2 linked regions of the Sus scrofa genome follow. The protein of the gene in region 1 interacts with the protein of each later gene in a pairwise test. Links are inferred from orthologs where the notes say so. Each region holds a gene or a part of one and is shown on either strand. Other genes may lie near its edges.

The links.
Region 2: the proteins of REL (region 1) and CEP19 interact in binary tests that used the Homo sapiens proteins (3 or more experiments, as listed by UniProt). The two-hybrid records come from large-scale screens. The link is inferred for Sus scrofa from reciprocal best matches to the Homo sapiens genes REL and CEP19.

The regions. Positions count from the first base shown.
Region 1 is NC_010445.4:80,896,589-80,904,462, reverse strand, and holds part of REL (proto-oncogene c-Rel), read left to right. Parts: intron 1-2,672; coding exon 2,673-2,815; intron 2,816-5,150; coding exon 5,151-5,299; intron 5,300-7,874. UniProt on the Homo sapiens protein: Proto-oncogene that may play a role in differentiation and lymphopoiesis.
Region 2 is NC_010455.5:133,420,995-133,428,222, reverse strand, and holds part of CEP19 (centrosomal protein of 19 kDa), read right to left. Parts: intron 4,058-7,228; exon of another isoform or gene 4,025-4,057; coding exon 3,858-4,024; intron 3,046-3,857; coding exon 2,684-3,045; 3' UTR 1-2,683. UniProt on the Homo sapiens protein: Required for ciliation. Recruits the RABL2B GTPase to the ciliary base to initiate ciliation.

The DNA of each region.
Region 1 (7,874 bases):
CTGTCAGTTTTATCTTTTAAGTAATCCTTCATTCCTGTTATCATTACCAAATTTCAGACATACCCTAATCCTTGTTACTGTAACAGCCTCTAAACCGTTCGTCTTGCTTTTTTCTCTTTTATTTTTAATCTGTCCACTGCCACCAGAATTCTTACTCTAAGCTGTCAAGCCGATCATGTGACTTGCCTGCATAAAACCCACCATTGATTCCCTGTCAGCCATAGAAATGAACTCCAAATCCCCAAATAGACTCTCTGACTTGTGACTTTCTTTTGAAAGGTAGAAGTATACTGCACACTTTCCTTACAGCCCCCCGGGGCTGTGTTGTGATTCTTCAGCTCTCTTCTCCTGTGCCAGGACACCTTTGGATGCACTCTTCCCTTGCCCTAGAATGTCTGTTTTTCTCCTTTTTCCCTCCTTTCTCCCCACCCTTTTGCTTCAGTAACTTTTTCTTTTCCTTTTGACGTAGGTAGGCATTCCTAACTGTTTTGCTCTTCCTGTGATTTTATGCAGAATTTTGTTAGCATAAACAACATTTTATTCCTTCTATGTAGTCTAATAATTGTGTTATTTGCTTCATTGTTCTATAAAATCCATGAAAATAACTGTTGTTATACAATCATAGCATTACTATAAATCGTTGTTTTCAAGAAAGCATCTGAAATAATAGTAGACCATTTATTGACTAGTCATTGTATTCCTGGCAGCTGGTAAGAACTTAATACTTGTTATCTTCAATCTTTGCAACAACCTTGTGTGGTAGGTGCTATTGTATTATTATCCCCATTTTACAGTGTGGGAATCTTAAGAGCTATAATACTTCCTGGGTCTTCAATGTTAAGATGTGGCTGGGTAGGACTCAAAAGGCCTATTCCTTTTACTACACTGATAAGACCCACTGTGTTACCCTTTCTGAAGATTTGCTTGCATCCTAACAAAGGATAAACCTTTTGTCAAAGAAGTGCATATCTAATTGTGGGAATTTAGAAATCACTAAATTGATCAAGGAAGGGTTTTTTGTTTGGTTTTAGTGGAAGACATCTTTACAGCCCTGAAATAAAGACACGTTGCTAGGTACCCCACTTGTAAGCACACTTGAGTGTCTTTATTGAACTGGAATTTCCATGATTTAGATAGTAAGGGAGATAAAGGTGCATATGTTTTAGACAGCTTTATTGACATATAAGTAATGTAAAATAAATTGCATATGTTTAAAGTATGCAATTTGAGGATTTCCTGCTGTGGTGCAGCGTGTTAAAGATCCAGCATTTTCTCTGTAATGGTGCAGGATCAATCCCCATCCCAGCACAGTGGGTTAAGGATCTAATATTGCTGCAGCTGTGGTATGGTGTACTTAGGTCACAGCTGTGGCTCAGATTCGATCCCTGGCCTGGGAACTTCCATATGCCACAGGTGTAGCCGAAAAAGGAAAAAAAAAAAAAAAAGTATGCAATTTGATAACTTTTGACATACTTATCACCACAATCAAGATAACTAATACGTTCACCATCCTCCAAAGTTCCTCATCACTCCAGACCCCTATTCTTAGGCAACCAGTCATCTGTTTTCTTCATTACAGATTAGTTTATATATTCTAGAGTTTTACGTGAATGGAATCATCCAATATATGCTCTTTTGGTCTGGCTTCTTTCATTTAGCATATTTATTTTGAGATTCATCCATGTTGTGTGTATCATTAGTTCATTCTAAAGGTGCCGTATTTTGAATTGTATTTGTTATAGAAAGTAAATAATTATTTTATTTTCCTCTGTTGTGTCTTATTCTTTAGATGGGACTGATTGAAAATTCTTTTGAGCCTAAAGTTCCTTCTGGAACTTGTTTTGTTTTACTATGTGTAAGTCCTTTACATAGAGATATAAAAAACATAACATTTCCTTCTGTAAGAAAGTAAATACATTTTCATTTTCTTTTTTTTTTTTGTTTGTTTGTTCATTTGTTTTGTTTTGCTTTTTAGGGCCACACCTGCGGCATATGGAGGTTCCCAGGCTAGGGGTCTAATCAGGGCTGTAGCTGCCCGCCTACACCACAACCACAGCCACTCGGGATCCGAGCTGCATCTGCGACCTACACCACAGCTCACGGCAACGCCAGATCCTTAACCCACTGAGCAAGGCCAGGGGTCGAACCCGCACCCTCATGGTTCCTAGTCGGATTCGTTTCCACTGCGCCACGATGGGAACTCCACATTTTCATTTTCAATGAACAGTCTTTTAGTCCACTGTTAAGATAAATCTAATGTAAAGTCAGGCAAAGTCTTTTTTGGAGTATAATATTGCACTTCTGAAGACTGTCTTCTTGACCCTTCTGGGAAAATTCTGGGGAAAACCCTTCTGCTTGGTCTCAGGTGAGAAGTGGATATTTGAAGTGGTTATCGCAGAACTTCACACTGGCATTAGTTAGAGATATTAAACGATAAAGTGCTCAGCAGTAAATATGATTTGAATGGCTTGTGTTTACACTGTATGGGAACTCGAATGAGAGAGAAAATCAAATAAATTATCCACCCAGTCTTGAATAATTACATTTCAACTTTGTCATTTAATATTGAGAGGGGAAAATTTTTAGCCTACTCTTTTGGAAAAAACAAGATGGTTAAAGATCCATTATTAATTCTATCATAATCTCACCCTCCTCCCTTTTAAAATTTTTAGGTGGGTATAACCCATATATAGAGATTACGGAACAACCCAGACAGAGGGGAATGCGTTTTAGATACAAATGTGAAGGGCGATCAGCAGGCAGCATTCCAGGGGAGCACAGCACAGACAGCAGCCGAACATACCCGTCTATCCAGGTAACAGATCGTTCTCCTCTGCGTGTGTGTGTGTGTGTGTGTGTGTGTGTGTGTGTGTGTCAGCTGCATCATGTTTTCACTACAGCAGTTACATTAAAGACCCAGCTTCATCACAGTGATCGTCACCAGCTTTTCCTCCTTTTTTTCTTTGTAATTGATCCATACTGCATAGATCTCTAGGCACATTTCTTAAATAAAGTATAGAGTCTTCATCCCTGCAGATTGTTATATATTGAGTGTTAATCTGTGTAGAGTGATTCCCAGTGCTTAGAGTACATCGGCAACTTTTGGATGACAACACCTTTAATGGAACAAAAAGCTAATGAGGAAAAAGCATTCTTTCCTTCCAGTGGTGAGCAAGATTGTTCTGGAGATTAAAAACCTGTATTTGGAAATTCGGAATTCTTCCTGCAATCACTTGGCTAATCTAGGGGCTATGGAAAAAAGAGCATTTTTGCCTTTTTTCCTCTTTACGTTTATTGCCTATCCCTGATACTTTGGATTGCATTGACTGATTTGAAATATTGTCACTTTTTAAATATAGTTTTTTCATATTAACATAAATTTTGAAAGTAGTTTTTGATCCAAAATGACTTTGTTAATGTACTATATTTATAGAAATACTACATTTATATTTTATGTTTATATACTACATTTCATTAGACCCCTAGCCTGGAAACTTCCATATGCCTCATGTGTGGCTCTAGGAAAAAAAAAAAAAAAAAAGCTAATCTTCTACTCCTTTAAGAGTGATTTTTAACTCTTCTCCATAATTCAGCTTATTCTGTACATTCTCTTAACCATTTCTAAGATCTTTATCCTTACCATTCCAGTAGTTTCTAAACAACTTTGCAGCTTGAGTTCCACTTGAGCCTACCTTACACTTTTAAGTCGTTACCTTGTCTTTTATTCAGAAAGGCAATAAATACTTTCTGATTACTGTTCAAATTAGGTTTAAATTCAGAATTATAGATTTTAATGCCCACTTATCTATGAAGCCACCCATTCTTACCCAGCTGCCTCGCTCCCTTGTTTGCTGGTTTTTATATTCCTTGCTTTGTGCTTGCAAATTTTCCATCTTCCAGAATAAAGATAAACTCCTCCCTACATTGTGTAGAGTCCTCCTTCCTCTCCCATGTTTAACTCTTCATTCTCAGTGTCATAGATCTACTTACTATGTGAAAACTTAATTTTGCAAAACAGCCTAATTTGTTGCCTATGGTACAGTGAATACTTGGGATACACTTTCTGATTTAAAAAAAAAAAAAGATATTTTTGTGAAATGAAATGTCATGTATTAAGTAACAACCATACTTGACCATAATGGTGGCTTAAATGTGTTCCATTGTGGCTTAAATATATACATTCAAGGGATGTTTATGGTATGACAGTGAATATAAGAGCATTGCATTCAGTGACTCAACATCTTAGTATTTCCTCATGCTCCATGATAATATTTTGGTATAATTTTACTTGTTTTAAAAGGAAAATGGAGTTCCCGTCGTGGCGCAGTGGTTAATGAATCCGACTAGGAACCATGAGGTTGTGGGTTCGATCCCTACCCTTGCTCAGTGGGTTAACGATCCGGCGTTGCCGTGAGCTGTGGTGTAGGTTGCAGACACAGCTCAGATCCCGCATTGCTGTGGCTCTGGCATAGGCCGGCGGCTACAGCTTCGATGAGACCCCTAGCCTCGGAACCTCCATATGCCGCGGGAGTGGCCCGAAAAATAGCAAAAAGACAAAATAAATAAATAAATAATTAATTTAAAAAAATAAAAGGAAAATAAGGGAGTTCCTATTGCGGCTCAGCAGATAAAGAACCTGACTAGTGGAGTTCCTGTTGTGACGCAGCAGAAACGAATCTGACTAGGAACCATGAGGTTGCGGGTTCAATCCCTGGCCTCGCTCAGTGGGTTGAGGATCCGGCATTGCCCTGAGCTGTGGTGTAGGTCGCAGACACGACTCAGACTGGCATTGCTGTGGCTATGGTGTAGGCCAGCGGCCATGGCTATGATGTGACCCCCTAGCCTGGGAACTTCATGTGCCATGGATGCAGGCCTAAAAAAGACCCCTCCCCCAAAAGAAGGAAAATAAGCAGAATGAGGTGATATGACCGATTAAAATTAGGACACAGAATAATATGCCAAGAAACTGAGTGGTAAATTCTTCTCTACTGGTATTCTCTGCAAAGTTTCTTCCAAACTGCACTTGATAATCATTTGGACTTTTATTTATCCAATGCTAACTAATGTATATAAATTGAACCCTCATTTAGTAGATCAGTTCTTAATGAGATGTATGTATGGATCATATATCTGATTTCCCTCCTTTTCAGATTAAGAACTATTTTGGAAAAGGAAAAGTGAGAATTACATTAGTAACAAAGAATGACCCATATAAACCACATCCTCATGATTTAGTAGGAAAAGACTGCAGAGATGGCTACTATGAAGCAGAATTTGGACAAGAACGCAGACCTTTGTGGTAAGTACACAGTCACAAACATTTTCAGGAATAGGATAAACATAGGATGCTCTTGTTTCCTACCCATGTACATCTGTTATTTTCTAGCGGAATAAACTGATTCCTCATTGTCCTTCTATTTACTATAGTATACATTTAAATTTTCTTATCATTTATAAGAACTACCCTTTCCTCCTTTTTTAGTAGATGTGGCCCATGATGGTAGCAGGTATACTTCTTTATTGTTACTAAAAGCAAACATAAACTTATTTTATGCTGCAGTTTTCTTTCTTAGTCTGAGCAATTTATTAAAGATACTCTTTTTTATTTATTTATTTATTTTAGTCTTTTTAAGGCTGCACCTGCAGCATATGGAGGTTCCCAGACTAGGGGTCGAATTGGAGCTATAGTCGCTGGCCTTACACCACAGCCACAGCAACAAAGGGTCTGAGCCACATCTACAACCTACACCACAGCTCACGGCAACGCCGGATCCTTAACCCACTGAACAGGGCCAGGGATCGAACCTGCATCCTCATGGATGCTAGTCAGATTCGTTTTGCTCAGCCATGACAGGAACTCCATGAAAGACATTCTTTTATAAATTTTTGCTATGTCTTTTCAGTAATAGTTAACTTAAAAATTGCCAGATACGGCGTTCCCATTGTGGTCCATTGGGTTAAGAATCCAGCTAGTATCCATGAGGAGGCAGGTTTGATCCCTGGCCTTGCTCAGTGGGTTAAGGATCTCATGTTGGTACAAGCTGTGGTATAGGTTGCAGACACAGCTTGGATCTAGCATTGCTCTGGCTGTGGCATAGGCTGACAGCTACAGCTCCGATTCATCCCCTAGCCTGGTTGCTGCAGGTGTGGCCCTAAAAAAAAAAAAAAGAGGAAAAAATTGCCAGATATGAGAAAATCAACCGGAAAACTGTAATTATTATTTGAAAAGAGCACTTATAAAATTAAAACAGTTCTAGGATTTTAAAAATTGTATAACACTTTGTGTTGGCGAGACTGCTGGATGGGTCTGTTCATCCTATTGGTGAGAATGTAAATTAATAAAATCTTTCTAGTAGGCATTTTAACAATTACACAGCAAAAGCCTGAAAAATATGAAGTGTCTTGAACTAGCAATTCTGCTTCTAGGAATTTTTCCTGAGGAACTAATTACTTCTTTTTTCTTTCTTTCTTTCTTTTTTAATAGGGCCGCAGGTGCGGCAAATGGAAGTTCTCAAGCTAGGGGTTGAATCAGAACTGCAGCTGCTGGCCTATGCCACAGCCAGAGCAATGCCAGATCCAAGCCACATTTGAGACCTACACCACAGATCACAGCAAAATGCTGGATCGTTAACCTGCCGAGCAAGGTCAGGAATGGAACCCACATCCTCATGGATACTAGTCGGTGTGTTTGTGCTGAGCCACAGCAGGAACTCCCTGAGGAAATAATTTCTAATTAAGCATGTTCAGACATATAGCTATAATGATGTTCATTGAGGCTTTGTAATGGCAAAAAGAGGAAAGCCAAATAATAAACAGAAAGGGATTGGTTAAATAAAACTGGCACATCCATACAGTGTATTCCTATTTAGCCTTAAAAATAATATTGCAAGAGTTCCTGTTGTGGCGCAGCAGAAACGAACCCAACCAGTATACATGAGGACACAGGTTAGGTCCCTGGCCTCGCTCAATGGGTTAAGGATCCGGTGTTGCCGAGAACTGTGGTGTAGGTCACAGATGTGGCTTGGATCCTGAGTTGCTGTGGCTGTGGGCAGCAGCTGCAGCTCAGATTTGATCCCTAGCCTGGGAAAAAAGTGTACATATTCATGGTAGTATAAACACTAAGATGTCGATAGTAGTTGGTCCCTGGGTAGAAGAATTGTGAGGTTTTATGTTCTCTTAACTGGTGTTTACTTTATAATTCATTTTTTATAATGAACTTGTATTGCCTTGGAGGAAAAATGAAACATTTCAACAGGAAAAAATTAGTAGCCTCCTTAAATTCTATTTAGAAAATATTTTAGTAACCTTTAGAAAATATTCTTTTTTGTTTGTTTGTTTGTTTTTTAGGGCCACTCCTGTGGCATATGGAGGTTCCCAAGCTAGGGGTCCAATTGGAGCTGAAGCCAGTGGTCTATGCCAGAGCCACAGCAATGTGGGATTTGAGCCACGTCTATGATCTACACCATAGCTCAAGGCAACACAGGATCCTTAACCCACTTAGTGAGGCCAGGGATCGAACCTGCGTCCTCATGGATTCTAGTTGGGTTCATTAATCGCTGAGCCATGACAGGAACTCCATAGAAAATATTCTTTAAAAACATTCTTCTTTTACTTACAACACAAAACATAAAATATTTAGTTACACAAACTTGGCAAGAAATAATTCCTGTTTATATTATTTGACCTCCCAATAGCATTTTACATTGTATATTACTCCTCTCTTGAAACATTTTTATTCTTTGATTTCTGATTTTATGAAAACAAACTCTCCTGTTTTACTTCTTACTTGTCTGGCTCTTCCTTCTCAAACTTTTAAATTTTTGGACTACTGTAATTATGTCCAGCAATGCCTGTTGGAACTGTCGTGTTATTCT
Region 2 (7,228 bases), on another chromosome or scaffold:
TGGGGAAAAGATACTCTTACATAACGCCAATAGTTTAAATTGCCACCACCTTCAGGGTAAGTACCGTGGAGGTAAAATACATTCCAACTTCTTCTCCTACAATTTTTCTTTTGCTTGATCTATCTGTGTTAGCCACAGTGGCCTCCTTAATCTTCCTCAAATATACCAAGCACATTCCAGTTCTGGAGGCCTATGGGCATACCTTTCTCCACAACCTCTGAAATGCACCTTAGTTTTCCTTACCTCCTTCCGGCCTTTGCTCAAATGTCACGTCTTCAGCAAGGCCTTCTCTGAAGGCCCTATCAAAAACAATGGTGCCTAGACCACCATTCTCCTTTACCCTGTTTTGTTTTGGTTTTTTTTTTGTCTTTTTTGCTATTCCTTGGGCCGCTCCCTCGGCATATGGAGGTTCCAAGGCTAGGGGTACAATCAGAGCTGGCACCCCTGGCCTACACCAGAGCCACAGCAACATGGGATCCGAGCCGCATCCACAACCTACACCACAGCTCACGGCAACGCCGGATCGTTAACCCACTGAGCAAGGGCAGGGACCAAACCCGCAACCTCATGGTTCCTAGTTGGATTCGTTAACCACTGCGCCATGACGGGAACTCCGTTTACCCTGTTTTTAATTCTAAGCACTTATCATATGACGTTATTATTTTTTTTTTTTTTTCTAGGGCCGTTCCCATGGCATATGGAGGTTCCCAGCCTAGGGAACAGCCACAGCAATGCCAGATCCAAGCCGTGTCTGCAACCTACACCACAGCTCGTGGCAACACCGGATCCTTAACCCGCTGAACAAGGCCAAGGATCGAACCCACAACCTCATGGTTCCTAGCCAGATTTGTTAACCACTGAGCCACGATGGGAACTCCCATATGACGTTATTCTATGTATGTTTGTCATCTCTCTGCTCCAAGTAGACCTTACAAGGAAACTCTGTAAAGGCACACCTTGTAAAGGCAAAAGCTTTGTTGTACATACTGCTGGATCCCCAGACTCCATAGCAGTACAGGCTCAGCAAGTACATTACTGAATGAATGAAACGCTTTGCAGGACAATCTAACAATACTTATTAAACTTCAGGATGCACATACCCAGCAAGTCCCCTCCAGGCATCATTGATAGTCCTGGAAAATAGGCAATGTACTAGATTATTTACTGTGGCATTGTTTATAACAGTGAAAGGGGAAAACAACCTAAGGTCAACTCTTAAAATCTATCATCTATATCTACACCGTGAAACACTGTGTAGTTATGGGTTTCCAGTTCTAAAAACTCTTTTGCTTCCTTTGGCAAATATACCTTTGAGACATGGCCATCTTAAGTCCTTGGTGACATCATTATAAGAATGATTTCTTCAATGAGGCTTTTAATGGTAAAGAGAGTAGGGATGGACAGGTAGAAAGAATGAATAACTTTTACAGTTTTAATGAAACTGCAATTTACTAGTAATTTCCTTGCAGAAAAGATCTCTACAAATTAAATAATTTTTTTTTTCTTTTTCTTAGGGCCACACCTGCAGCATATGGAGGTTCCCAGGTTAGGGGTCTAATCAAAGCTACAGCCGCCAGCCTACGACACAGCCACAGCCACGCCAGATCTGAGCCATGTCTGGAAACTACATGACAGCTCATGGCAACGCCGAATCCTTAACCCACTGAGTGAGACCAGGGATCGAACCTGCAACCTCATGGTTCCTAATCAGATTCGTTTCCGCTGTGCCACAACAGGAACTCCTAAATAATATTCTATTATGAAGAAAGACATATTTGTACATATATAACCTTGTTCAACAAAGATCTTCTCTTTGTAGTTACAAACTCATGAATAGGCCTAAACTGGCAGTACCTATGTTTATTTGTTACAGGTAGATTTCCCATTTTACAAACAAACCTCTTATTTATGGGAAAAGGTCCAGGGTTTCAGGATGTCTTTAGCATATATTTCCTGATACTGAGGGGGAAGAACTCCCCTGCTGTCCATCCAATTACGTCCACTTGCAAGTGCATGGCATTCTGCAGGGTACTCTTCTACTCCAGAGTTAAACACATATAGAAGCAATGCAGACAGGATAATCCCCTGATAACTATATATGCCCTCTGATCTTATCAAACTATAATTTCCTTACTGCTCCTCAAATAAAATGTTCTAATTCCTATCTCTTTACTGATCCCCCTTCTCCCCCCCTTTTTTTCCCTCCCGGTTTCTCTAATCTATATAATCTATAGAATCCCATATAAGCTTCTACCCAAATGCTGCCATTTCATGGCCAGGCAAAGTGCCACCTTACCCCTAAAGGACAAAGTCTTCCCTGGCTGTTCTACCCTTTAATAATCTAGGTTCTGACCCTCTCTAGCCTTTACCAAGCACTTGGATCTAATATTTTTGCTGCCCAGTACCAATAATTAGCTTTTCACAAGGTTTTGACTTCCAATTAGATTGTAAGCTCCTTCAAGGCAGAGTCCTATATTCTGTTTTTTTTCTATCTTCCACATGCACCTACATAGTAGATGTTCTGCATATCTTGGTTTTGAAGAGTAACTTGGCCAATCAAAACATAACCCAACAGGGATAGTGTTCTCTACAGATTTTTCTAAACCCAATCTATGTTCTTTGTATAAATATGGATTTTCTGCTACCCAATTGTCATTATTATTATTATTTCTAGTGTGGGGTATCAGAATTCATCAGCTGACTCTGTGTCCCAGCCACAGGACTGTAGTTGTTCATCCTGTGGGAACTCTACTTCAATGTCATAAACAAAATTTGGGTCGTCCTTCTTCTTCTGATTTTTCTCAAAAAGTTCATCCATGATGCTCTTCCTTTTGGCAAGTTCCTTGTCATCTAGTTTGTTCAGGTCTTCCTCAGGATCAATGGTTGTTTCCCGTTGAATTTGCTCCATTGTTTCTGCCAAACTCTGTCCCCACAAGTAACCTCGTAAAAAACTGAATAACTTCTCTAGCTGCCTCATGGATACTTGTTCCAGGTAATCCTTATGTCGTGGATTATTTTTTAATTGTTCAGCAGCTCTGCTGCAATCTAGGAAGGAGACAAAAAACCATTATACCACATACAACACCACAAACTACTGAGGCATCACAAACTACTGCAAGCATTACCTGCCATTACAGTCCAGTAGCTAAGTGGCTTTTGGGGAATGAATTATTTTATAGAACTATTTCTTTATACTGAGCTTTGAATGTGGTGGGGGAAGGAGGGATGTATTTTTTTATTTCCATAGCTTAAACGCACTTTGAAGACAACAAGGTCCTATTGTATAGTGCAGGGAACTATATCCAGTCTCTTGGAATAGACCACGATGGAGAAGAATACAAAAAAGAATGTATATATATGTATAACTGAGTCACTTTGCTGCACAGCAGAAATTGGCACAATATTGTAAGTCAACTATATTTTAGTACAAAATTTAAAAAAAAATCATTTTGAGGAGACATTCAATACTTTTAACTAGAGAAAACACCTAAGAAGAAAAAGCAGTAGTACAGCTGGAGATAGTTGTACAAGTACTAAGAAAATATCAAGACTACAAATAAAAAACACCTTTGAGGAAGAGAAGGGAATTCATACTATTGAATATTGCCATCTCAGTTAACCCACATTGCAGATCTGAAAGGGTGGGATTCTCAATTTCCTTTTACAGATTAGGAAACTGATGTTTACCAAGAGTAACTAATTTAGTGGAGGTCACACACCTACCCCGACATCACGACTTGAACCTTGGTCTGTCTAACTCTGAAAGCCATGCTGCTCCACTACAGAAGACTCAAATCATTCTTATAAAGTGACTCAGGGAATATTTAAGGTAGGAGTCAAGATAAAACATAAGGTACCTGAAAACTTGGAAAAGTTTCGGACTGGCATAATGCGCTGGCGACTTTTCCCCTTCATTTCATTCTCATAGATTAAGATAATAGCCGGAGGCTGGAACCTAATTCCACATTTCTTGGCAGTGCACATCATCCTCACATACACTTCAGGGTAAATCAGAGGAAATCTGCTGAAAACGTATTAGTCACATAATGACTTCCTGCTAAAACGGAAAAAAAATAAGTGTTGGATAAATCCCACTCCCCCTTATTCTTCCTCCCCAGCAGATCTGACTCTTGTCCAGTTCTAGAGATGCCTGCTCAGCTCAAGCTCAGTACTTCAAGAGATACCTTGAAAGTTCAGTTTGGCTCCGGGTTATTCTTAGTCTGTAGAATCCCCGGTTCACTGAAGGGTGTAGGTTTGTTCACACATGAGCCTAGAAAGGCAGTTCAGTTTGGATCTTTTAGTGTATTTTTAACCCATAATTATGTATGAACCCAAGAATCAGTTTATAGAATCTTTTTCATTTACCAATTAAACATGTATGTACAAGCAGCCTCTATGTCAATCTTATACATTATGTCCTGAGAGGTTCACCAGACCAGACCTGTCTCCTTTGTCCTTTCCCCGTCATTCTAAAACTCATTGAGTTTTGGTAACTTTTTTTTTTTTTTTGTCTTCTTAGGGCTGCACCTGCGGCATATGGAGGTTCCCAGGCTAGGGGTTGAATGGGAGCTGTTGCTGTTGGCCTACACCACAGCCACAGTCACGCCAGATCTGAGCCGCATCTGCGACCTACACCATAGCTCACGGCAACACCGATCCTTAACCCACTGAGCAAGGCCAGGGATGGAAGCCGCGTCCTTATGGATGCTAGTCAGATTCATTTCCACTAAGCCATGATGGGAACTCTGGTAACTTATTTATTCACTTATCTTTTCCTTCTATTCTATATGCTCTATATGTTTAGGGGACATATCCATTGTTCACCACAATATGCTCAGCACAATGCCTGGACTACAGTAAGCAATCCATTCTTTAATTCAATATATAATGTAAGACACAGCCTGTACATCCTCTAAGTGTTAACAGTCTAGAAGCCTGATCAAAAAAGCAGACTTGATGCAGAATTAGCACATGTACAAGGGAATGAAGCTTACATGGCTTTTATGTCAACTTATTTTTCTCATTACACGATGTTTTCTTAGTTATAAGAAACAGCCATTTTAAAGGTTAATACATTCCATTCCCTCTTTCCTTCCCTGCTTTCAATGCCCATATATACTTAATTTTAGGAACTGCTTTAGATGTGACCATGATAGTCTCAGGAAGATCTGCAAATGTCAAAGAACCTAGAGGTAAAGCAGCACAGGGATGATATCTTCAAATTCAGTTCTATTAGAGAATTACTACAGGAACATAGTTATTTAATACCTGTTCATTGTAGGAAACTGGGGCAGGAGTGGGGAAGGGGAAGGAACATATAAAATAATCACCCTGATTCCTTCCAGTCTTTTTTCTAGGCATAGTTGTGCGTGTGTGTGTATTTAGCTACAATATGTTTTTTATATTATACCTATTTCCTGCCATTTAAATTTAACAGCTTATGTAATTTTGTCATTAAATGTCTTTCTAAAATGCAAATTTTTATGACTGCAGATGTTTTGTCCTATGGATATACCATAATCTCTATCATTCACCCCTTACTATTGGTCATGAGAATTTTTACTCTTAGGGTCAGAAAGAGGAAGACAAATACCATATGATATCACTTATATCCGGAATCTAATATATGGCACAAATGAACCTTTCCACAGAAAAGAAATTCATGGACTTGGAGAACAGACTTGTGGTTGCTGAGGGGGAAGGGGAGGGGGAAGGAGTGGGATGGACTGGGAATCTGGGATTCATAGATGCAAACTATTGCCTTTGGAATGGATCAGCAATGAGATCCTGCTGTATAGCACTGGGAATTATATCTAGTCACTTATGATGGAGCTTGATGGAGGATAATGTGAGAAAAAGAATGTGTATATGTAGGTGTGACTGCATCACTTTGTTGTATAGTTCCCATCATGGCACAGCGGAAACAAATCCGACTAGAATCATGAGGTTTTGGGTTCGGTCCCTGCCCTTGCTCAGTGGGTTAACGATCCAGCGTTGCAGTGAGCTCTGGTGTAGGTTGCAGACACGGCTTGGATCCAGAGTTGCTGTGGTTGTGGCATAGGCCAGCGGCTACAGCTCGGATTAGACCCCTAGCCTTGGAACCTCCATATGCTGTCTCGGCCCTAGAAAGGACAAAAAGAAAAAAAAAAAAAAAGAAAGAAATAAAATTGACAGAACACTATAAACCAGCTATAATGGAAAAAATAAAAAATCATTTAAAAAAAAGAATTTTCACTCTTAGGAAATGGATCATATATAAAAAACTGCTTTTTCAAATTATTGAGCTCTGCCTCTGATCTGACACAATGATCCCACTCCATCCCTTCTTTCTTCTTCTTCTTCTTTTTTTTTTTGTCTTTTGTCTTTTTAGGGCATCCACAGCACAATGGAGGTTTCCAGGCTAGGGGGTCTAATCGGAGCTGTTGCTGCCAGCCTACACCATAGCCACAGCAACCCCAGATTCGAGCCACGTCTGCAACCTACACCACAGTTCACCGCAATGCTGGATCCTTAACCCACTGAGCGAGGCCAGGGATCAAACCCACAACCTCATGGTTCCTAGTCGGATTCGTTTCCACTGTGCCACGATGGGAACTCCTCTTCTTCTTTTAAACAAATACTACTCCCAGTTCACCTCACTAAAATCTGTTCTGTTAGTAAATTTTCTGGGAGATCCTACTGAGCACAATATAAATTCCACACACTCAAGCAAGTAGCTATGTTAATAAATGATGGGAGTTCCTGTTGTAGCACAGCAGAAACAAATCTGACTAGTATCCATGAGGATGTTGTTCAATCCATGGCCTTATTCAGTGGGTTGAGGGTATGGTGTTGCCCTGAGCTATGCTGAAGTTCGCAGATCCTGAGTTGCTGTGGCTGTGGAGTAGGCCAGCAGCTGTAGCTCCGACTGGACCCCTACCCTGGGAACCTCCATATGCCGAGGGTGCAGCCCTAAAAGGACAAAAAAAAAAAAAAAAAGATGTATTCACATGATATTCAGTAATGTAGTTTTTTGACTATACTCTTTTCTTTTTACAATTAAACTTTTATTTTTACTAAGTAATGTTAGTATTCTGTTTAAACGTAATATAATTCCATAAGGCGTATAATAAAAAACTGTGGTCCTCTGCCCTTCCCCTCTCCAATAGGAAAATAGTTTCAATTCTTTTAAGCGTTTCTTCCAAAATTTATCTCCATATTTCTTAACAGCATGCTTACACTGCTATTT